Kluyveromyces lactis: one gene and its partners. The main gene of each other region encodes a partner of the protein of the gene in region 2 in a complex. Links are inferred from orthologs where the notes say so. Each region holds a gene or a part of one and is shown on either strand. Other genes may lie near its edges. The genes, in order: POP8, POP5 and POP7.

Region 1 (8,458 bases), on a different chromosome or scaffold from region 2:
GTTTTATTCCAAAGATGGTAACAATTTCAAATTGGCCAGCTCTGGTTCTAAAAGTAATGATGATTCAAACCCTTTAAACATGTTTTGTTCATTCGTACAGAAATCATCAAAATCAAAACTGTACAAATTAAAAGACAAGGTAATCTGTCAGGAGAGTACCGTACTATCCCCTTTCGGAGATGTTTCCAGTAAGTTGTATATCACCGATGTTAATTTTAAGAGTTTGAGTCCGTTTGCCGAACAATTACAGGATTTGTCTCCAGCATCAACGTTCATTTCCGATAATCATCTATTTATCTTGACATTATCAGATCGGTTCAATGAAAATTCTGCCGCAAATCTCTGGAGATTGGAAGATGATAGCACTGATAAGTTTGAACAAATATCCCTTGGAACACAGATTCGTAAATCGCTAATGGACGTCAACGAAATAGATGGGAGAGCAATTATTACCATCTACCATAGAGAAAGAAATAAGGATGGTGATAATAATGATGACGAAGATAAATCTCCTTTCGAAGATATTTTTTCCGGTTCCATTGAAGCGTTGATTTCAGATTCATACGGTAAGAACTTCAGACATTTGAGTTTTGATGAACAAAAAGCTTCTTCGTTGACTTTATCGACGTCTATCTTTGTTAAGAAGACAATGTTCGCAACTTGGACCAATACTATGCGGGATTTTGGATTTTTTGATTTTAGATCGAAGGTGTCATTTGATTTGGGCAATACGTGGAGTAAGCTCAAAGTAAGTGATCCCGAAGGTAAATGGAATTACAACTGCGATATCAATAGCGACTCCAATGACTGTGGTTTCCAAATGTTCATCGTTTATGGTGGAGGTGTGGAAGGTGATTCAGATATTTTCAGCCCTGGTATTATAGCCGCCATTGGTGATGTATATGAAGAAAATCCCTCTGGTGATTTCTTAAAAATGGGTACCTTTATTTCAAGAGACGATGGTTCGACCTGGGAAAAGGTACTCGATTTCCCGAGTAGAGTTGTAATGGGTGACTACGGTAATATCATTCTTGCAGTGCCGTTTGATCCAGAATCTGATAAAGACCCGCAGAGCGAATTCTACTTCTCCTTAGACCAAGGGAAAACATTCCAAGAGTACCAACTTGACAAATCGTTCTACCCAACTGAATTATTACCATCTGCTTTGGACGGATCCGGAAATTCATTCATGTTAGTCGGTACAATTATGTCTGAAGATTACCAGAATCTAGAGTCCGTGTCCTACGTCGTTGATTTCTCCGATGCATTCAAGGGTGCCAGCTGTAAAACTTCTGATATGGAAGATTGGTATTACTCTAACGGTCAATGTGTTGACGGTACTATTCTCAAATTCCGTAGAAGAAAGCAAGATGCTCAATGTCTAATTAAGACCACTTACAAAGATCTCACTTTCGAGGAAGAATTGTGTGGCTGTAGCGAACTAGACTACGAATGCGCTGATGATTTCTCCATCGATTCAGCTGGTAAATGCGTACCAGATTTTTCAAAAGCATCTCTCATGGAAAAATGTGAAAGTAAAAAGAGTATTCAATTGGAACCTAAGAAAATATCAAAAACAACTAAATGTAAGAGACCACAAAATATCATAAAAGAGGAGATATCGTGCGCTGCTGTACCTGCCCCATCTAATGTAAAAGTTACCGAAAACAAATTTTCATCGATATTCAAATCGTATCAATACTTTGACACATTCGTACGGGAATCAATTCTTTTCAGGACAGACAAAAGTGAAGCATATGTGTCTCACGATGGTGGTCAAAATATAAAGCAAATTCAAACTGGCGGTGAAGATATTTTAGAGATTAATTTCAACCCCTTCTTCAACTCATCTGCATATCTATTTGGTAAAAACAAAAACTTATTCGCAACACATGATTACGGGCTTTCATTTAAAGTTACCGAGCTTCCTGCAGGAAGACAGTTGGGTTTCCCATTATCCTTCCATGCTAAAGATATTCAGACTTTCATTTACTACGGCGGTGAAAGTTGCGAGTCTTTTTTCGATCCTAACTGCCATGCTGTAGCATACATTACTAGAGATGGAGGGGCATCTTTCGAAAAGCTTTTGGAAGGAGCCTCAAATTGTGAATTCTTGGAGTCAGCTGTAGAAAGTCCAAGAGTAGAAAACGGCATTGTTTGTATGGTAAAAGACAAATCTACCGGTGCAAGAAGTTACGTGTCCTCTACAGACTATTTCAAAACCCAAACAGTTCTCTATTCTGATATTTTAGGATTCATGTCCACTGGTGGCTATATTGTAGTAGCAGTGTCGCATGGTGAACGTCAACTACGTGCATACCTAACCATAGATGGTGTGGAATATTCAGAAGCAGTTTTACCTGCAGACCTTGATTCTTATGAACAAAAAGCCTTCACAGTCCTTGGATCACAGGAAGGAGCAATATTCATGCATATGACGACTAACCTTGATAAGAATGAAGAATTCGGAGCATTACTAAAGTCTAATACCGAAGGTACATCTTTTGTCATTTTAGAAAGAGCAGTCAACAGAAACAGCTTTGGCTTTGTTGATTTTGAAAAAATTCAAGGTCTTGAAGGGATAATATTGATCAACACTGTTGCAAATGCGAAGGAAATAGTTGAAAGCAAAGATAAAACTTCACAGAAGAAATTAAAAACTAAAATAACCTTCAATGATGGTGCTGATTGGACGTACATCAAGCCACCATCTGTGGATTCTGAAGGTAAAAAGTATAATTGCAACCCAAAAAACCTAGAAAAGTGTTCCTTAAACCTTCATGGATTCACAGAACGAAAAGATGTTAGGGATACATATTCTTCTGGCTCAGCTATTGGCTATATGTTTGCCTTGGGTAATGTTGGAGAATATTTGACTCCGGTGAGCGAAGCATCTACTTTTATGACCAACGATGGCGGTATATCTTGGTCTGAGGTAAAGAAAGGGTCTTATCAATGGGAGTATGGTGATCACGGAAGTGTGTTGGTGCTTGTCAAAGATAACGAACCAACTGATACAGTCAGCTACTCCATAAACGGTGGAAAGACTTGGAAAGACTACCAGTTCGCTTCAGAAAAGATAAATGTATATGATTTGGTCACTGTCCCAAGAGACTCTGCAATGAGATTCTTAGTAATTGGATCCTCAGTAAATGTTCGTGGCGAAGAAACAAGAACTTATACGTTGGACTTTGTGGACATGTTTTCACGTCAATGTCAATATTCGAAAGATGATCTAAAAGATTTCGAATATATTTCATTAAGTCACCCTAACACCAAGGAGTGCTTGTTTGGACACAAGGCAAAATATTTACGTAAAAAGTCTGACGATTGTTATGTCGGCATGGCACCTCTCGAAGATAAATTTAGGATTTTTGCAAACTGTTCCTGTACCAGAAATGACTATGAATGTGATTATAATTTCATGCGTGTGTCTGATGGTACTTGCAAGTTAATCGATGGCTTAAAACCAGCAGATCCTAAAGACATCTGCTCCAAAGACAATTCCTTAATCGAATACTTCGAACCAACTGGCTATAGAAAGATCGCTCTTTCTACCTGCAATGGCGGATTGATGCTCGCTAACTCTGATAGTCCTCACCCTTGTCCAGGAAAAGAGAAAGAGTTCAAAGAGAAGTATAAAGTAAACCATACATCATTCTTAGCAATATGGATCTTTGCTGTTCTGATATTCACTGGCATGCTGTCATTCATTTATTATAGAGGTATAAAGAGGAATGGTGGGTTTGCTCGTTTCGGTGAAATTAGATTAGGAGATGATGACCTCATAGAAGAGAACAATACCGATAGAGCTGTAAACACAGTTCTTAGAAACGGAGTGTTCCTCTTCTCTAATGTTTACACCGGTCTTCAATATTTCGGACACCAAGTGGGGAATTTCTTCAAGAGAGGCTTAAGCAGATTTGGAAACACAACAGGTCCAAGTTATCAATCCCTCTTACACGATCAATTTTTAGATGACGCAGATGATTTACTTGTTGGACACGATGAAGATGCTGACGATCTTGCAAGTTTCATCGAGAATGAGGGTAATTTTGAAATCGGTAACGACGAAGAAGTTGACCTCTCATCTGATACACCAACCCATGCACCATATTCTGATAACCCAGAGGAAGCGAATCCTCATGAGTCAACTTAAAACATCAACACTTACCTAGTTTATGTTTTTGAAGATACTCGAACTCTTTAACATTATACATAATTTTCGTATAGAAAATGGATTTTAATTTAACTTTCGGGTAGTTCACTACTAACAGCTTATAATCTTTATAAAGTAAACATAGAGGCATATATGAGTGTCATACCTTGAAATTTTTTCAGTCTTTCTGATCAGTTAATCTTTGAATAAACCTTTTTCAATGTGAAAATGTGAAATTTAAACCTGGATAAGAATAACTAACAATACAAGAGAAGCGAATATTGATGTCGGCTCGATTCCGGTAGTATGTGTTCAGAGTTTGTCTAATCTCTCATCTTTTCGAAAAGGATCAAGGAACAAACATGGCTAAGTTCAAACCAGAATGGTTTTATTTTAAACTAAAGGTAACGTCGCATGATTCGGAAAAAGACAATGAGATCCAAGTGGATAAAGTAACTTGGCTTCAAATGTTGAATACAGCTTTGAAAAGATCTCACGGTGTATTTGGCGAAGCAATTGAGTACGAATTATTATACGTGGATAATTTGGATACTATTGCAAAGGTAAGCGTCAATGATACTGATATTTTTACTACTGCCATAAGCACTTACATAGCGAGCGATGAGTTGGTCGGTACCTCACTAATAATAAATGTGCTCGAACAAAGCAATAACCTGTCCGGATTGACCGTTCATGAGGATGATAGAATATGGTTCAAGAAATTGGTAGAATCCGAAGCCGAGATAGAAGCTGAATCCAAAGAAAAAGAAAGATTATAAACTAAATCATAAATATTGATGCATAAAATAATAATAACCCAGAATGGTGGAACACGGAAGAACGATTACTTCCATTGAAAGAAGCCACAAGATGCTTCTGGATCATCTTTTTCGCCTTTTGATCGATTGCACACCCAAAACTTTTTACCAAAGCTTTTGTCAGTCTTAGAGACTCGAAGAACAGCTTCTTCACCATGTTCACAAACTGGTGCTTTTCCAAGCATTTCCTCGAAAGCCTTCATATGTGCACTCTTGACGCGCGACTGAGGCTGTATCGATACATTTTTGTTTTGATCTTTGGAAACTGTTGCTGAGGCCAGAGCATTCATGCCGTTATATTGCTTGACATTCAGTGGTTTTACTACTTTGCCCGTGCTTGTCGTGGAAGGACTGGTGCTTTTGCGATTGGCCTTGCGGAACATATCTAAAATGTTCCCATGGTTCAAGAAATATCTCGTGGCAGCCTCAAATTTTGGCTTATTGAAGCTTTCATGTTTAAGTTCGAGGTTATCTACCTTGATATCAGCAAAAACTGGACAGTGATCTGATCCCATAATAGTGGTCAAAATATCACCGTCCGTAATATTATCCTTTAATCCTTTGCTGACAAAGATATAATCAACACGAGAACCGTAATTGACCGGCCGAGTATTTAACAACGTATTCCAGACTGTATACATTTTTAGTCTGTCCCTACCCTGTATCTTTCGCGTAGAATCTACTAAAATACCCTCTTGTGCATATTTTGAAATTATGGAATCGCATAGCATTGTATTAAGCAACCTTCTTCCAATGCGAGATGGGTCCATGATGAACTGAACGCATTTCTCATTAAACTTTTCTTCAATTTCAGAGCCCGTCTTCTGTTGAGATAAAGAAATAGATGATTCATCTAGTGCCGTAGCATGATCTTTCAAATCTCTGCAAACATTTATGTCCCCCATTAGCACGACATGCTTCCCTAACCCGTGCAAATTTCTTATCCGCTTGAAGAGTAGCTTTAAAAACGTCAGCCGAGACAATTCTCCTTCTTCGGTTTGTGACGAGTTAGCAGGGCAGTATGTTGAAAAGATAACAACATTACAAGCCAATTCGATGATGATACATCTTCCCTCGCTGTCAATATCAAGAAGGTCGTTTTCATCAGCAAAATCCAAACCAGTATATCCACCAATCCCTTCTGAACTCTCACGATAGGATATGCCATTAGCTTGCACTCGGAGAAGCCCCGTAATTCCTTCCTCTGCCTTAATGACCTTTAAGTGATGTCTTAATGGATCATCTTCTGATGGTGTACGAATCCAGCATCCAACCCCACTGTACCCTTTCCTCTTTTGAGATATAGTAATATATGATTGGTAACCTTCCACTTTACCCCATTTAGATATACTTTTAGCATCTATCTTCAATTCCTGTAGTGTCACTATATCTGCTTGAAACAACTCGAATGCTAGTTTCAATGAATTGTTCATCCTACTAAAAGGATAATGTTGGAAAAGAGTTCTTACTCCATTCACATTGAAAGTTACGAACCGTACTCCAGTTTTATCTTTCACTTCATCCATAATCAATGGTTCAGGCACATAACTCTCTGGTAATCTTCTATATAGAGCAGTTGCACGTATATAGATATGGCTCACTCTCTTTTTCTATTAAGCATCTGTGCTGCAGTTCTTGTTATCTAATTGAATTATTGGATCTTAATAGCAAGCATCTTACAAATAATGCACATCGACCGTAAGATGAAGATTATATGTAAAAATGAGACCTGTATATAAATCATGAACTAACTGAATTTGAGATATGTCGTTAAAAAGGAAACTAACTAGTTACTAATTATGCCGCATAGGTTTTTGCAGCTAGCAGTTCTGATATTAAGCTCTTTTCTTTGTAAATCACCAAAATAAGTAACAATAATGCCAAAATGACGTTAATAAGTAGTTCCCGCATATTTTCCACATAGCCTATGAAATACCAATCTAGGGCACCGATTATGGCTGCGATGAGAGCAACGTTCTTGAAGGTGGAAATGTTTGGCAAGATTGATTGAGTAGTTTCAGTTGACGATTCTTTTAGTAGGTAATGGTAAAATTTATGAATAAAGTTACCACAGTATGCTATTCTCAAAGCCATGTTCAAAATGTTACTGACAATGAGCCCTTCTAGTGATAGGTCAAAATATTCTATGAATAACCAACAGTTGAACAAGAAAATGCCTGAGAAGAGCATCATGACGTATGAATGTTTGAAAATCTGATCACCGGAGGCAACACTTTGGAAAAACGCCTCGAAGATACCATTCAAGGAAAGGAATGGAATATAGAAGCAGTAAGTTCTTATTGTTTCTAAAAATGAGGTACTTGACCACTTAGATCCAATGACAAATTTCAATAAGTATGACGAATTGATTGGTCCGAATATTATAATGAAGAGTGATAAGTACAGATAAAACTTGGTTAGGTCAATCAAGACCTTCATAGATAACCATAAGTTCTTCTTCGACGATACGCTTAACAAGCGCGCTAAAAACAAGCGTAATGCCTCCTCAATCGGAGCAAACAATAGTCTTGTTATCAAAGAGCCGTAATTTGAAAGAAGAGAGTATATACCTTGCTCTTCCACCGTGCACAACGAATTTATGATTAGCTTATCACCTTCTGTTAACAAATGCTTGAAGCATAGCTGGAAATACACTTTTTTGAAGTGCTGAACGGTATCATTTTGGAAATAGTATGACTCTTGTCTTGTTTCAGGCCTGATTTTTGTCAACTTGTAGCTATAACGCTCTCCAGTAGTATAGACCTCTGAGTAATAATTGTAGGAGTAACATGCAAGTAAAGTCATCGCGTGAACGAGCTTACCAACTGCAAATGCAAAAATAGCGATCCCTTCTTGTTTGTAATCATCATGCAACTCTAGCCCAACTCCGTTCACCATTTTCTCAAACCAGACAACTATAATAAAGTTCGCAACACATGCAAAGGTGACACCTAAACTCTCATATTTGGATCTGATAAAGTGATTGAGTAAATATTGATGTACCAAGTAGAACGGTTCACTGACCAACTCAATCAATATACTAAGCCATATAAGGAATATGGAGGCTTTGAAGTATGGAAGGTCAATGAAGTACGAATTTAGATTAGAGTATTGCCATGAAATTAGGATAATAGACAATGGTAACCCAATCACAAACGGTATATAACCAAAATTAATCAGGGATTGCAAAGTTCTCGTATCCTCACCATCCTCTACTTTTTCCAATTTGCCGCTATCTGTTGTAGATTTGATCCGTAAGGTGGAGATCCGAATCGATTCTCTACTGAAGAATAGTACTGTAGAAAGTAAAAACTCTAGGAAAGAGGTAATACCAAAAATTCGGGGGGATAAATAACGCACTAGCAAAGTGTTCAACAAGAAATTAACCCCTTTACTCAACGTTTGTCCCAACATTAGAAATAAGACTCCATTGGCGAATTTGTTCATATGCTCATTCTTGACATTCATTCTTACCAAATGA
Region 2 (8,349 bases):
CCAAGTATACGTTAACAAATGATAGTCAACTGAAGCTGGCATTTCTCGGACAATTAACTTAGGTCTCTGAGCTAAAATATAAAATTTTGCTTTGTCGCCAATTTCTTTCTTGACTCTTTCAATTCTTTTAACGGCCACACTTTCTTGTCCATCATGCACGACAACCATTACATTCACTCTGTCGTCTTTTTCGTTCATAATTTCCGCAGTAGTCTTTCTCACTTTGACATGAATTTGGGTAGGCAATGAGTTATCAACATCAAAGGATTCTACTTCAATATAATTTGCTTCTGCCATTGTCGACAATGCTGTAATCTCGTAACTTGAATCACAGTTTTCCAACTTCAATCCCTTTTGCAAGCTAGGTAATGATAATTGGACATATCCAAATGATTTCATCGAAAGACCTTTATCGATAACATTTCCTGCGTTGTCCATTAGCTGCAAGCATACACCGGCCAGACCATCAATAATGTCAATTGACACATCGTCACCTTCATCGAATACATGGGCTTCAATAATTATTGATTTGTCATCTGGGTTGATGTTATGAGGATAATCAAATTCTGATAAGAATCCATTATCTGATATCCCGGTTGAAGCATTGTAGAATCTATGCACTGGGTTCAATGTTAGATTGGCTGTCGGTACCAATGCAACCTCTGTTTTTACAAATGGCAAGTCTTTCAATAAACTTGACAAATATAACAACCGCTGTGTCCTTTCTTCAACAGGATCTAGCAATAGAGTGACGTTGATTACAGATTGATCAGAGCGGCTAGTGATAGTGTATTCTTCTAACTCAGAAAGACTCACTCGAGGCATTGAGGATTCTGTAGTGTAAGGTATTCCGTTATTCAATACAAGGTAACCATGATGTACATATTTGATAACAGCAGCAGTAAGTTCCTCGATAGCAGATGGGTTCATTATGTTTTCGTCCAACGCCCCGATGTGATGTAGTGTCTTCAATACATCAAGGGTGCGCGAAGAATGATGAACCAAAATGTTGTGCCATAATTCAACAGAATACAAATCGTCATCCGTATTGAAAAATTTACCATTGATTACTGCAAATGGTTTACGAAGAGCTTTAATAGAAATATCCGGCAACCAAGAGCTTAAAACATTCAAAAAGGGATCAACAATGAAATTAACAGTCGTCTTAGAGGCTATTTTACCTGACAACTTCCCTGTGCTGAATTCCATTTTAAAATTATCCCAACTCTTTGACAAATCACCAACGTGAACTAGTCTGAAACTAACACTTTTGTGATTGTTCCTTAGTAGGGCTCGTATCTTCTGAACAGCGCTATAAGAGTTGAAATCATCGACTAAAGTGATAGTATGAATGGGTGAAGTCTTTTGATTCGGATCAGAAAAGATTATCGTGCGACTACCGAGTACATGTAGAGCGCGGTTGTTAACTCTGGTGAAGGTTTCATCCAGCATACGGTTAGGTATGTATACCGGATTTTTCAATGTCAAGGACCTATGGTGAAGAAGTTGCCTTACTGATAGGTTAGATGAATCACCCAAGGCCTGCAATTCTGACTTCAAATACTCGATATCGGCGGATAATATCCTTGAAGTATGAATCTTCCATGCTTTAGCTTGGAATGGTAAAAGTACACCATTCATTGCTATGCAAGTATCTGCTATTTTGAATCTCTCAAGGTATTCATCATACGCACTGCCTTTGTGTTTTGTCTGAGGTTGAATTTTTTCAGAGTGTCCAATAAGAGTTCTTAAGTAATCTATTATCGACTGCAGAGGCTTGTCAGATTCCGACTTCAATTTATAAATCATATCGACAACAGAGTTCGATCCAGAGGAAGAAAATGGAATTAAGCCCAACCTGATAGGATATCCAGTTTCCATCTGATCGATTGCTTGTAACAATGATCCTACAGCACCGTCATCTTTGAATTGTGTCATATCGTCAAAGTTAATAAAAAAGATGAGCTCATTCCAATTCTGCTTGATGCTAGGAATTGGTTCGAAATCAGATGGTTCCAAAAACGCCATATTGTCTTCAGGCAGGTCCTTATATAGCTCATCCTTCTCGAAATTATTGAAGAAAACTACAGCTTCAGAGAAACCTGGAGTACGATAGAAATCGTAACGATTTTTGTCAAAGTAAGCCGTATATGAGTAGCCAACCGTGAAATATTTCAAAAAGTTCTCTAACTCAGCACCGGGGAACTTACTTAGTTTTTCTTTTAAATCATTAACCCTAGACCATTCCTTAGCGAGGATAGCAGGTAAAGTAGTTTCATCTAATTCTGACAATCTCCACTGTTGGCCGTTGATGTACAAGCCAAGTAATTCATGAGAGATTTTTCTCTTATTGAAGTCTTTAACAATATTCTTTGCTGGTGTTGTATCAATGTTGTCTTTAGAAGCAATGACTGGTGCCACTGCAGGAAAATTGTAGGACAACGACTTGAAATATTCAAAGAAAGAATCGAAATCATGATCTTCATTGAATTTCTCCAACAATAACGCGGTGAATTTCATATCCAAATCTTCTAGTTCCTTTTGATCCAAGTATTTCAATTTGACTGGATCCTTAATTTTTAGATCAGAATCATCGATTACAAGGTGAACATTTGCCTTTTGGTCCCAGTTTTTGTCCGATAATGTGGCACTCAATGCATATTCTGGTGTATCACCTATGATACAGGTCGGTCTCCAAGTCATTCTAATCTTACCAAACTTAGCCTCATTATAAAGATTTCTGTTGAAATCAGCAAACTCTAAATCTGTTTCACAACCGTAAAGTACCACAATTGGAGCAGAAGCATTAGTTCCGATTGCAATCTCTCTATCTTTTAACACATCGAAATCTGGAACAAGAGCTTGAGCATCCAATTCAGAGGTCTTGAAATAAAATGAGTCATCGCTCTTAGAGTATATTTTGCCATTCAAAACAAAGCAAGTTTCTTTGAATTCATCATCAATTGGTGCAATCTGTACATATTTTGAAATGGCACCGGACAAGCCTTCGACTTGTTGTACTTTCTCAGCCGAAGCTGAACTTATAGATTCCTCAATTCCTTCATCGTCATCTTCATCTTCTTCATCCTCTTCTTCATCACTTAACGTTATTTTTCTATACAACTGCATCCATTGGTCGGTAGACAATGCATCGTAATCAACAAGGGACGCTGAAAGCCATCTCTTACCAATTCCTTCATTAAATGCTTGCGTTATGTGCAGGACAGTTAACAGCAAAAACACAATTCGTAACCTAAACAAGACCATCGTGGTTTTGCACCGTTTTAGATCAGGAAACTCGTTCACTCAATCTTGTTGGAACACAAACTGTCAAATTGTGCTGATCTAAATACTCTCTTTCATCTCGAATTCTGATCTTAATAGAAGGCAAATATAAACCTTAAAAATCTTGCGGGATCTTCTGCCAATAAAAAACTTTTAAGCTGGAAATATGAAGCATGTTAAAGTCCTACACATGTTATAGAATTTGTAAACCTCACCATTACTATAATGCTACTCCCTAAGCTAGTACTATGGGATTTTACGCATGTCTATCAGATCCACTGGCAAGGTAGCTTCAGCCACTTTCGAATGAAGAGTCACGTGAGTGTATTTCTCACGTGACTCCTAGTTTCTTTCTTCATTGGCTCTATCTATCTGTGAAACGGAAAGCGTTGAGAAAAATATCAAAAAGTGATTTGAAGATATTCTGGAATTTTTGAACAATTAACTTATACATAAAAACGGATGAGTAGAAGGCTTGGACTCAGGTTCAGAGGCTACTACTGCTCTTTCGTTTGTTGTATTCGAAAGTTATTGAAAACCTTAGGCGGCATATTCAGAGAACTAGGGGGATTTCTGAACTTTTTTCCCGTTGTTTCAAGTCGTTAATTTAATCATTACTCATCGTTTTTAGCGGTTTGATTAAATCTTCCCGTTCTTGATTAGAATTTGCTTTCGAAGACGTCCTTAGGAAAGGTGTTTCGCGTTAATTGCAGGTTATTTTCCAGTTTTACAGCTAGGATGACGATTGGTGATAAGTCTAAGTGGACGGCTGCCAACGTTCGTTCCACATTTTTGGACTATTTCAAGTCTAAGGGCCATACTTTTGTTCCATCTTCACCCGTGATTCCATTCGATGATCCAACTTTATTGTTTGCCAATGCTGGTATGAATCAGTATAAGCCAATCTTTTTGGGAACAGTTGACCCATCCAGTGATTTTTACAAGTTGAAGAGAGCTACGAACTCTCAAAAGTGTATCAGAGCCGGTGGTAAGCATAATGATTTGGAAGATGTTGGTAGAGACTCCTACCACCACACTTTCTTTGAAATGTTGGGTAACTGGTCGTTCGGTGACTATTTCAAGAAGGAAGCTATTGAATACTCTTGGGAATTGTTGACCAAAGTCTACGGTATTCCAGGTGATAGATTGTACGTCACTTATTTCGAAGGTGACGAAAAATTGGGTTTGGAACCAGACTTCGAAGCTCGTGATTTGTGGAAATCCGTTGGCGTCAAGGATGATCATATCTTGCCAGGTAATGCCAAGGATAACTTTTGGGAAATGGGTGAACAAGGTCCATGTGGTCCTTGTTCTGAAGTTCATTATGACAGAATTGGTGGTAGAAACGCTGCTCATCTTGTTAATCAAGACGATCCAGATGTGTTGGAAATTTGGAATAACGTTTTTATTCAATTCAACAGAGAACAAGATCGTTCTCTAAGAGCTCTACCGGCTAAACATGTCGATACTGGTATGGGTTTCGAAAGATTGGTGTCCGTTTTGCACGATGTTAGATCTAATTACGACACCGACGTTTTCGAACCTTTGTTCAACCGTATCCAAGAAATCACTGGGGTCAGATCATACACTGGTAAATTTGGTGCTGAGGATACGGATGGTATTGACACCGCTTACAGAGTCTTGGCTGATCATGTTCGTACGTTAACTTTCGCCTTGGCTGATGGTGGTGTTCCTAACAACGAAGGTAGAGGTTACGTTTTGAGAAGAATTTTGAGACGTGGTGCACGTTACGCTAGAAAGTACATGAACTACCCTATAGGAAACTTTTTTTCACAATTGTCTGTCACTTTAATCGAACAAGTTAAGGATATGTTCCCAGAAGTCGCTAGAGACCCATCTTATTTGTTCGAAATTTTGGACGAAGAAGAAGCTTCTTTCGCAAAAACTTTAGACCGTGGTGAAAAATTGTTTGAAAAGTATGCTGAAGATGCTTTGAAGAAAGCAGACAAGACTTTGGATGGTAAACAAGTCTGGAGACTATACGATACTTATGGTTTCCCTGTCGATTTGACTGAATTGATGGCTGAAGAACAGGGCTTAAAGATCGATACAATCGGTTTTGAGAAAGCTAAACAGGAATCATACGAGGCTTCTAAGAAAGGTGGTAAGAAGGGTGCATCTGATTTGATCAGATTAAACGTTCATGAATTGTCTCAACTTAACGGTGATAATGTCGCTAAGACTGATGATTCATCTAAGTATGGGACCGAAAACGTTGAAGCCACTATTTTGAGAATATATGATGGTGAGAAATTCGTTGACTCTATGACCGAAATTGGTAAGCAATATGGTGTTATTCTAGACAAAACTTGTTTTTATGCCGAACAAGGTGGTCAAGAGTTCGATACAGGTAAGTTGGTTATCGATGGTGAAGCAGAATTCAACGTCGACAATGTTCAAGCCTACAACGGTTATGTTTTCCATACCGGTTCTCTTGGTGACGGTAAACTATCTATTGGTGACAGTATAATTGCTTCTTACGAAGAGCTACGTCGTCATCCCCTAAGAAATAATCACACTGGTACACATATCTTGAACTTTGCTCTGAAAGAAGTGTTGGGTAATGATGTCGATCAAAAGGGTTCCTTAGTTGCACCGGAAAAGTTGAGATTCGATTTCTCGCACAAGAGAGCCTTATCTTATGAGGAATTAGTGGAGGTTGAAAAACTCTCCAATGAAAAGATCAGGGACAACTTAACTGTGTATTACAAGGAAGTTGCCTTAGATTTGGCTAAGACTATCTCTTCTGTCCGTGCTGTCTTCGGTGAAACTTACCCGGATCCAGTTCGTGTTGTTTCTATTGGTAAGGCCGTTGAAGAAGTCCTAGAGAACCCAACTAGTGAAGAATGGCAAAAGTACTCCATTGAATTCTGTGGTGGTACCCATGTTGCTAAGACTAGTGACATCAAAGAATTCGTCATTGTTGAAGAAAGTGGTATTGCCAAAGGTATCAGAAGAATTGTTGCGGTTTCTGGACCTGAAGCCTATGAAGTACAAAGAATTGCTACTGAATTTGATGGCGAATTAACTGCAGTTGAAAAACTGCCTTTCTCCCCTTTAAAGGCCCAAAAGCTAAAGGAGCTAGGTGTCAGACTAGGCCAACTAACTATTTCCGTTATCACCAAAACTGACTTGAAGGATAAATTCAACAAAATTGAAAAGGAAGTTAAAGATGAACTGAAATCTAGAGCTAAGAAGGAAATTAAACAAACTCTGGACGACGTCAAACATCACTTTGATGCTAACAAAGAGTCTTCTTTCTACGTCAAGCATATTGACATTCCAACTAATGCTAAGGCCATCACTGAAGCTATCAATCACATTAAAACAAACTCGAAGGACAAGTCTATCTACTTATTCACTTGTAATGAACCAGACGGAAAGGTTGCTCACGGATGCTACATATCTGACGCAGCAATTGCTCAAGGTGTTGATGGTTCTAGTTTAGCCAAAACAGTATCCTCTAGCATCGGTGGTAAAGCTGGTGGTAAGGGAAATGTCTTCCAAGGTATGGGTGACAAACCAAACGGTATTGACTCCGCTGTTGCGGAAGTTGAAGCCTTGCTAAAAGAGAGACTGACTATCTAATTTCACCCGCTTTAATATAAACTCTTTGGCTACGATTGGCTTGAAGTTAATCTCAAGTCTCAAAGTTTTGTAAATATATGCATGAGAACTCTGATTTTCAACTCAACTATATATGATATTACTTGAAAGATATGCTACGCCTTTTGTTATATAGAGAATGAATTATCTGATATTTACACAATCTGTTAGTTAAGGTTGGTGATGCGGCAATAATGCATAAAATATTGGACATGCTTGGCGTATTCTCGTTCTTCTTCTGTGACTTGAATGCGACAAACCAAAAAAAAAAAAAAAAAAAAAAAAAAGAGAGATGCTTCACATTACAAGATTTAGAGTTATGATGGAGATCAACTGTGAAGGAATCAAGATTTTGATAAAGGACGGTTGTGCAACAACGTTTATTCGGGGGTTTCATCCTACTATTAATAAAACTTGCTGTCATAATAGGCAAAATAGAAGAAATCCAATGGTTCGTTTAAAGAGCAGATACATTCTTTTCGAAGTACTATATCCAGATGTAGATGATGAGTACGAAACAGTGCCAGATATAACCAAGAAGGACATTTTAACCACGCATCACAAAGTATCACCAAATACTATCAGTCCGAGAAATATTTTGCAGGAACTACGAAAACAATTACAGGTGAATTTCGGGGACTATGGCTTGGGAAAGGCTACGGCTTTGTTACAGATCAAATACTTTTCGAATAGAACATCAACCGGTATAATACGATGTGGCCATGATGACCATCAGTACGTAATAATGGCACTTGCTTTGATGAACCAGATTGAATCTGTTGGGCCCATCATAATGAATCCAATAAAAGTTAGCGGAACTATTAAAAAAGTTGAGTTATTTGCTATCAGAAGAAGTCACCGTTTGAACCGAATACTTCTGACAGATGATAGGAATGATGAGTTTTCTTCAATCACTGACGATGAAAATAATGACTGATTCGCTGATTTCATTCAATTAGTAGTGCTTGAATATTATTACATACAATTATATCAGTATATCGGTATCGCACAATTAAGAAGTATGAGGCTTCTTACGCACTTGAAGACCGTATTCTCTGGCATGCTCGTTATCTTCCTCATTCTGTTCCGCATTTTTGCCATCATCAGCAGCGGAGAACTCTACCGGTCCAGTTCTTCCTTTCTTATTTGAGAGTCGATCAACAATATCTTCGTTTTCTAAGTTAGAACCAGTAGTTGGCCTGTAAATGTTGTCAATCTGGCTATTATTGAACAATGGATGGTCGAAAATTTGATTTGAAGATGATGCCACAGATGATGCCGCTTTCTTGAACAAGCGGGAATCGTACTGAAGATCTGGGGTCTCGGTGGCTTTTGCAGCATTTAAAACAACTTTATCAGAAACATCTCTTCCTTGTTGGTACGCCAATCGTCTTAACTTTTCTGCTGTGCTCATTTTATTCGACCGTTCCAATTCGC
Region 3 (8,454 bases), on a different chromosome or scaffold from region 2:
AATTCTGCAAAGGCTTTGAAGAATACAGGTACATGTTCCCAACCCTCACTATCATCCATGTCTAAAGCAGCATCCGAGGCTTGCTCTGTATCATGGCTTTTCGCCTTTTTCAGAGCATTACGCTTTTTTGCTTCTACAACAGCCTGTGGCAATGGTGTGGTACGCTTTGGAAATAGACTACTCGTCGGTTGCTTTTTCATCTTCTCTAACTTTTCCTTCTTTTTATGCAACGATTTTGGGACATTTTTCATATCCAGTTCTTTCAAAGGTGGATGGAAGTCGGCAGGCCACACTTCATCAGTACCTGATATAGCTTTAACTGCCTCTCTTTTTTTTGACTTCCAATCTTTCAAATCATCATTGTATAATTCCCAAACGCAATTGACACAACCGGACATGCAACAGTTGTCTGGTTCTATGGGTTTGGACGGTACCTTGACTCCAGCTATCTCTCTCATATTCTCCGAGGTCAAAAACCTACTAGTAGAACGTGGAGGCTCGCCCTTAAGTCTACCCCCGAATACAGATCTCATCCTTTCCTCCTCACTTCCGTATACCCCCTCGGTGTTGCCCTCAAAAGTCATTTGCACTGGCTTGGCAGTAAATATATATCTGACATTTCTCAAAGGTGGTGCTATACGTATCATCACAGCAATATAGATCTTATGCAGGATACTATCGACAGCGTTTTGATACGCACTTATTGACGATTGTCAATGTTGATTTGTGTATTATTCTCCGTGATTATTATCTTGTCTAAACTTTAAATGCTTCTCTTCATTGGGATTTTTTTTTTTTTTTTAGAGTATCGGTTGCCATAATCGGTGATGATGATTAAAAAGCATGAAAGGAAGGTTCAGAAAACAAGATGAGATAGCAGTCGTAGATCCTTAGCACCCTATTTGACAGTACAGTGATGTGAGTATACATGTATAAATAAATTGTGATTACATGTATCCAGCAACATTTTACAAAACTACGTAGATATACATATATATATATATATATATGTGGTTACACTCTCGAGCTGTACTTCGACTGCCAAAAACGGAGTTTCCACTTGACCAACTTCAGGTTAGTATCTTGAACGCTCTTCGTTTCCAAGTTCTTCTACGAGTGAAGCATGCAATCGAATCGTTCGCACCTAATAAATTCCATTTTGCATCACAGTATTGCCAGCTGCCGGGTACCCAAGTAGATTCAATCCAGATCCAATCGGAAGGTAGTTCTTCGTGGAACTTCCATGGTGTTACAGATGGAGTTTGGGTGAATGAATTAGAGAAGTGAGCTCTTTCGTAAGGTAGCAATTTTGGGGTCCAGCCCTCTTGCTTCCATTTTCTCTCGTTTTCATCAACGTTGTATTCGATGATCTTGACGTGTACGTAATCGGATTCTGGATCAATCTTAGTTGGATCCTGAAGGATTAACATTTGTAGTTGAACCTGTAGCTCTTGGCCCTTCAAGCCTTGTAGAGATTTAGGGAATGGAATGACTTGACTCTCACAAATCACCTTGTATTGTTGAAAGTTGGTTTCCAGTTTGGATTCCGATGGTACGCTGTCCCATATATAATAGTAACATCGCCTTATCCACAAATACCTCCATAGGAGTTTCATCGTGCTCTGGTAATACACTGAATGGAACACGGAGACAAGGCTAATGACAAGCACTGAGTATGTTCGTACATCCAAAAAACTAACGGTAATTAAATGAATTACTGTCAGAAGAGCCACTATCTTAAAGGTTTGTGAATTGATATTAGTAAGTTTTCTTACCTTGTCTGTACCGAGGACTTCATTTTGAACCGTTTTAAGCTTCTCAAGAACAGAGTCCAAAGTATGAGTGATTTCATCTATTGTGGGTGCTTCGCTCTGTTCAAGCTCTTTCCATAGCGTATAATTGTAATAAAACATAGTGCCAGCAAGAATGAATACGCTTGTGTACCCCAACCATATATCAAACGCTTGGAAAAGTAAGGAAGTATTCTTCGGTACAACCAACGCTGTTGAGTAACATAGCAATATAATATATATCAACTGTAAGGAAACATCGTCAATATGCCACATAAGTTTATCCAATAACTGGTCCAGCAGTAGGAGCCAAGGATATAATCTATAAAGACATGCAATTGTAATGGGCTCTAAGTCTTGTGGTTTATATGGGGGATTAACTGATTTCGATTTAGAAACAAATCTGACATGAAGTTTCTTGTTGCTCATGGTACATCTGAACAATATTGTATGCACTAATAACCGATTTTGAGCTTATCCAGACGCCGTTTTCTTTTCTTGCCCTTTACTTGTTATTTGCACAATCGGTATTGTAATCTATATTTCCTTTTAATTAAAGTCTCTGATTTTGAATTGGCCTGAAGAAGTGAACAAGAGAAACGGCTTTTCTAAGAAGACAAGAGAAGCAATCTGCTTCGTGGGCGTTCGAAAAAACCTTACAACACCACGTTATGGGAAATACTAAGGATTTAAATCAGTTACGAAGAAAACTTCCGACAGTGAAGACGTTTTCTCATGATAAAATTAAAACTACAATCTACGTGAAGAGCTCATCGCCTTACATTTCCGTGGTGAAACGAACCAACAGGTTTCTTTCCAACCTGCATAGACGTAAAAGTGAATACATTACACTACTGGGCATGGGTAAAGCTGTTTTCAAAACTCTATCAGTTGCTGCACACTTCAATACAATGGGTGATTACAAAGTTGACATATTAACGAAGACATTAGATGTTTTGGATGAGGTATTCGCTGATGATGGTAAAGATGAAGATGGAAATGAGGTTTCAACAGAGGACAGGGAAACGGAACTGACAAAGCGTACTTTGAGCGGTGTTGAAGTGCGTATAAGTCCTGTATAATTGCGTAATCAATATTAGTATGGGAAGCGCACATTAATATAGAGTTACATAGATATTTCAGTGTAGACATATCAAATACTAGCGGGACGGTTGCAATTCCAACCTTGCTTTTGACTTTTCGATCATGTATCTGAGTTCTTCTAACTCTCTGCGTATCTTGTTTTTCTTATTGAACGGCTCGAACTTATGCAATAACGGCTCTGATACTTTTAAACACTTCATGTAATCTCTTTCGTAATAATATTTCTGAGCATAAGAGACCATTTTCTGTCGTACTTGCTTCAATGCATAGTCAAAACTCTCATCTTCAATCAACAGATCAAAATCTTCCATCTTCAAGGCATCTTCCTCAGTTCTCGTTGGACCTTTCTCCTCCAAGAAATACTGTCTAAGTTGTTCCTTATATTCTTCCGCGCTCTGACCTCTTCTTACTTTCGTTTTACCTGTTGTTTTCCTAACCAGTACCTCTCCTGTATTACTATCGATGGTGATCGGTTTTGTCAATGCTTGGTTCCTTCTACCACCCTTTGTAAGGTCCGCATTATCACTTGGAGTCACAACCGATTTTGAACCAGCCGAAGCAATGTGAAGGCCAGAAAAACTCGAAACCAGTTCTGACATTCTTCGAAGCATAACACTGTATCACTTCTCTTGCCTCAGATGCACTTCAACGGTTTCATGCACACTGCTTCCTTTACACTTGCGATTTGATGCGATGTGGACTGAAATTACTCATTCTTTTTTTTTTTTTCAGTCAAAGCTATGACGATGAACTTAAATAAGATGTAGAACATATATATATCTCAGTAGTACAGATTCAAGGACAGTTGACTATCGTAGAAACGCTCTTCTAAATCATACTGAAGCTGATTATGGTCGTGTAACTCATTTATTATTACTGTAAAGTCGAGGTACTCTTCTTCACCAACCACTATCATGGGGGCATGCCAGACTCCAGCACCGTAAGTAACAGCTTGGTTTGATTTACATAAAAATGCTTGTAGTGTAAGTAAATCAGGTTCACCGTTTTTGTCGGGTAATGCGGTCACCACAAGATAAGCATATCCGCTTTTGATATCTCTGCCCATGGGAATGAAAGTTTGAGTAGAGAACGGATGTTTCTCTAGAACTTTGATTTCATGCTGATACTTTTTTAAAGAACCGTCGGAATCAACTAAAGCGAATCTTTTCTGTAGAGCGCCTTTGGGAAAGCACCGGAATAGGTTACAACTTGGATTCTTGACTTTTAAACTCTGAGGGAACTGGTTCTCTATATGGCTGACTTGTAATAGCTTAATGGCAGTTCCCTGGTTGGCATTCTTTTGAGATGAGTCAAGCCTTCTGACTTCTTCATCTGGAGACACAATTGAACCGAATTCCTCAAAAGCAGTAATAGATAAGGGAACGACAGGTATACATTGCATTGTTAATTGGGTAAGGCACCATATATCGACCGCCTGGCGTTACACATTTAAAATACACCGCGCTCAAAACTTCTTCCTATTCCCATTGAAATACAGTTACATATATATAATATATAGCTCGCGCTAAACTTTCTTACTTTTGATTAGCAACCACAACTGTGATTGATGACATTACTGTCGGTCAATTCCGTTACCAATACACTTACAGTGAAAAAAAAAAGCATACTACAGCAGCCCACTACTGACAGTAATACATCTAATCAAACTTTCGTACTACTTTAGATACTATGTGTATATAGTTTTGAGACGAAGTAGTGTCTGGTCAACGCATCATCGGCATTTAGATCTTTATCTTGACTTATAGTTCAATTTTATGTAACTGAACCAATTCCAAGATTTTTAAAGTATCTTCTTATAAACACAACCCAATTTATGATCAATACTAGTCATAAGGAAAAAACTAGACAAAACCAGAATTCAAGAGTCTGTCACTTGTTCATTATTATCAGTGTATACCATACCTAGTGTCTCATCAAACATTCTGGACTTCTTTTTGGACCACCTTCTTCGACAAGACTCATTGGGATTCATCTAATACAAGGCGAACACAGATTCAAAATGATAGGTACAGACGAGCAAATTGCTAAGTGGAAACATGAAAAAACCATCGGTATCATTGGATTAGGTGATATGGGACTTCTATATGCTACTAGGTTTTCCAAAGCTGGTTGGCGGGTTATTTGCTGCGATAGACCAGAATTTTACGAAGAATTGAAAGAAAAGTATTCCTCAGAAAGCTTCAATGTTGTTGAGAATGGTACACTAGTGTCAAGAGCTAGTGATTATATCATTTATTCAGTCGAGGCCGAGAATATCGAAAATATTGTGAAGATGTATGGCGCAGCGTCAAAGGTAGGCTCGATTGTCGGAGGACAAACCAGTTGCAAGAATGCGGAAATCAACGCTTTCGAGAAATATTTACCTTCGGACTGTGAGATTGTATCTGTACACTCATTGCATGGTCCCAAGGTCAATACAGAAGGACAGCCGTTAGTCCTAATAAACCATAGAACTAAATCTCAGGAATCATTTGACTTGGTAGAATCTTTGATGTCTTGTTTGAAGAGCCAACATGTTTATTTATCTTACGAGGAACATGATAAAATTACTGCAGATACCCAAGCAGTAACGCACGCAGCATTCTTAAGTATGGGGGTTGCTTGGTATAAGATACGAATCTACCCATGGACGCTTGGAGTCAATAAGTGGCATGGAAGTCTAGAGAATGTCAAAGTGAATATCTCCTTAAGAATCTATTCTAATAAATGGCATGTATATGCGGGGTTAGCCTTAACAAACCCTGCTGCTCATAAACAAATCACACAATACGCTAAAAGTGCTACCGAGCTTTTTACCCTTTTCGTGGAAGGGAAGAAAGATGAACTTACTAAAAGACTTCAAGTCGCCAAAGATTTTGTATTTGGTAACCACAATGGCTTGTTACTATTACACGATCTAGCTCTTGATGATTACTCATTATCAAAACATGAAAAAGGTGAAGATAACGAAGTGATACCAAACTCTCATTTATCTCTATTAGCAATTGTCGATAGTTGGTACCAATTGGGAATTGATCCCTACGATCATATGATCTGCAGTACTCCTTTATTCAGAATTTTCTTGGGGGTTAGCGAATACTTATTCCTAACAGATGGTTTACTAGAACAGACTATCGATGCTGCGATTAACGTACCAGAGTTCAGAGCGGATGATATGGAATTCGTCATAGCTGCAAGGTCGTGGTCTAATATCGTCTCTTTTGGTAACTTCGAACTCTATAAGAGACAATTTGAAGAGGTACAACAATTTTTCACTCCAATGTTTCCAGAAGCAAATGCTATTGGCAACGAAATGATTAAGACTATTCTTGAGCATTCAAAAAGTAAAAATTTATGATATGTTTACGCTTGATAGATTATGTTATATATGTATATATATGATATACAATGATATACATAAGTACTGTGAGAGAAATTTATTGCTAAAACTTCGATACGATCGGAAGATAAATCCTCACATAATGTGCCATAAACTATATAGACGCCATGCATTAAATTAGAAGGATGATGAAAATAGCTTCATTGGATGGAAAGGTGACTAACTTAATAGTTTCAGAGAAAGTTTTATTTTATCGCCTGCGTTTTCTACTTTCTAAAAAGTCACAATCTTCAGAGGTTTCCAAGTTGTTGAGATTCGGTTCTGTGAGTGGACTCACACTCATAAAAGAGCTCAACCCGGTTCTTTGCCTCTTTCCCCTGTATAACTGTTCCGAACAGTCTTCGTTTGTTATGTGGTTATGGGTATCTACCGGGGTTGGGCTTTTACTATGCAATTTCGGGGAGTTTCTTTTTGTATGATTAGGTTGTGACTGAGCCTGCGTTTGCAAATATTCGTTTACCATCTGAACGTCTGTTTGAGTCACCGAGTAAGACTCGAATAGTCGCGGGGAGAAATTCTTGAACTCCTTTACCATAATTCTGTTCCAAGCCATGGCCAATTTTTTATGATAATCGGTGATATTAGTACAGCGACTATAAATTGATGATAACAAATGCTCATAAAAGGAGCACAACCCATAGTTCAGAAGAACAGGAGAGAGATGATTCAAGCAGATAGTCTTATTCACAGGTATGCAGGGATTAGGTGTCAAACAGTTTAATAGTATGATAGGCTCCCATTCGTTCATAGGCTTGTGGCTTATGAAAACAACACAGTAAAGTTCCAAATCTCGGCTTTCGTCATGTAGTACTATATTCCAGAACTGCAAATTTGATTCTTGTGGCTTGATATGGCATGTAGAGTGCTTATAATGGCTCAAACGTTTCCATTCCCTAAGGAGTTTCCTGTACAACGGATGCATCTTATGTGGATGTGGCCTGCTATTTGAAAGAAAAAAAAGTAGTGAAGAATAACAATTATAGGCAATGGAAAAGCCTTTCCAATAATGATATATTACCACACTTAGTTGGCAATATAGTAGTTAAGATATCCAATAATAATCACGTTACCCTTAGCTTTGCATGCAAAGGTATGCAGTCTTACTGTTTTGTATTTTTACAAATCAGATTAATATATTCTATTATTATTTTTCTCTGATTATCATTTTTGATCTACAAATTCTTCATATATTGTAGAATATGTTTATACAGATAGAAGAAGAAAGAAAATTCAGAGCATTAATCAGTACCGGTATGCCTCATGTGAGCTCTCTGCAGTTACAAACTCGCATATATAAAAAATTGAGATTGAACAAAAAAATACAGCGAGGACAATGTGAACGATACAGACTATATACGCAAGTAATTTTTACTATGTCTAATGGGGTCTCTTTGTTTGTTGTTACCCGGCCACTAAAAGGCCAACTACAATTTTAGTGAAAGGAAAATCTCAGGATCGAGTGATTAATAACACACTGCATTGGTTAGGAGTTATGATTTCATTGTATTTAATATTTCACTCATTACAAAGACATTATCTGATCTTATAGTACGAATACAATAAAATTGTTTACACATCAGGAGACAAACTTACCGCTGTCTGGATCGCTGTTTATTCGTTTATTTGTTTCGAATTTTGGCTGTAACTGGTTCTCAAATAAGAAATATTTTGAACAAGTACTTCCTAATTTTACATATCAACTAGTACAAAAGTTTTGGTTTTAAATTATTAATTGACTTATTAATACACCTTTTCTTTAATTACCAACTACCTTTGAATTGACCGCAGTACAGCAATTACTTATAAAATATCACAATGGGTAACTTCTTTAGTTCTATGTTTGATAGACTATTGGGTGCGGAAAAAGAATTACGTATATTGATATTAGGGCTTGATGGTGCTGGTAAGACGACGATATTGTACAGACTACAGATAGGAGAAGTGATAACTACAAAACCTACCATTGGTTTCAATGTAGAGACGTTAAATTATAAAAACTTGAAACTTAACGTGTGGGATCTAGGTGGACAAACTTCGATTAGACCATACTGGCGTTGTTATTACGCAAACACAGCAGCAGTTATCTTCGTTGTTGACTCTACAGATAAGGACCGTATGAATATAGCTTCGAAGGAATTGCACCTCATGTTGCAAGAAGAA

Evidence for each region.
Region 1: POP5 (region 2) and POP8 share a complex: the UniProt entries of both Saccharomyces cerevisiae proteins name them as parts of the nuclear RNase P and RNase MRP complex. The link is inferred for Kluyveromyces lactis from reciprocal best matches to the Saccharomyces cerevisiae genes POP5 and POP8.
Region 3: POP5 (region 2) and POP7 share a complex: the UniProt entries of both Saccharomyces cerevisiae proteins name them as parts of the nuclear RNase P and RNase MRP complex. The link is inferred for Kluyveromyces lactis from reciprocal best matches to the Saccharomyces cerevisiae genes POP5 and POP7.

What each region holds. Positions count from the first base shown.
Region 1 is NC_006041.1:920,402-928,859, reverse strand, and holds POP8 (ribonuclease P), read left to right. Parts: upstream 1-4,521; coding exon 4,522-4,938; downstream 4,939-8,458. Other genes in the region: PEP1 (type I sorting receptor), read left to right, coding at 1-4,159; DNA-(apurinic or apyrimidinic site) lyase APN2, read right to left, coding at 5,004-6,503; RFT1 (glycolipid translocation protein), read right to left, coding at 6,775-8,445. UniProt on the Saccharomyces cerevisiae protein: Component of ribonuclease P, a protein complex that generates mature tRNA molecules by cleaving their 5'-ends. Also a component of RNase MRP, which cleaves pre-rRNA sequences.
Region 2 is NC_006042.1:216,825-225,173, forward strand, and holds POP5 (RNA-binding protein POP5), read left to right. Parts: upstream 1-7,204; coding exon 7,205-7,849; downstream 7,850-8,349. Other genes in the region: KRE5 (Kre5p), read right to left, coding at 1-3,267; ALA1 (alanine--tRNA ligase), read left to right, coding at 4,024-6,894; mRNA splicing protein PRP45, read right to left, coding at 7,925-8,349. UniProt on the Saccharomyces cerevisiae protein: Component of ribonuclease P, a protein complex that generates mature tRNA molecules by cleaving their 5'-ends. Also a component of RNase MRP, which cleaves pre-rRNA sequences.
Region 3 is NC_006041.1:2,186,445-2,194,898, forward strand, and holds POP7 (ribonuclease P/MRP protein subunit POP7), read left to right. Parts: upstream 1-2,461; coding exon 2,462-2,872; downstream 2,873-8,454. Other genes in the region: DPC25 (Dpc25p), read right to left, coding at 1-647; PEX32 (Pex32p), read right to left, coding at 1,071-2,219; KLLA0_E24685g (uncharacterized protein), read right to left, coding at 2,951-3,505; DAL3 (ureidoglycolate hydrolase), read right to left, coding at 3,676-4,296; TYR1 (prephenate dehydrogenase (NADP(+))), read left to right, coding at 4,915-6,252; UBS1 (Ubs1p), read right to left, coding at 6,485-7,216; Arf family GTPase ARL1, read left to right, coding at 8,110-8,454. UniProt on the Saccharomyces cerevisiae protein: Component of ribonuclease P, a protein complex that generates mature tRNA molecules by cleaving their 5'-ends. Also a component of RNase MRP, which cleaves pre-rRNA sequences.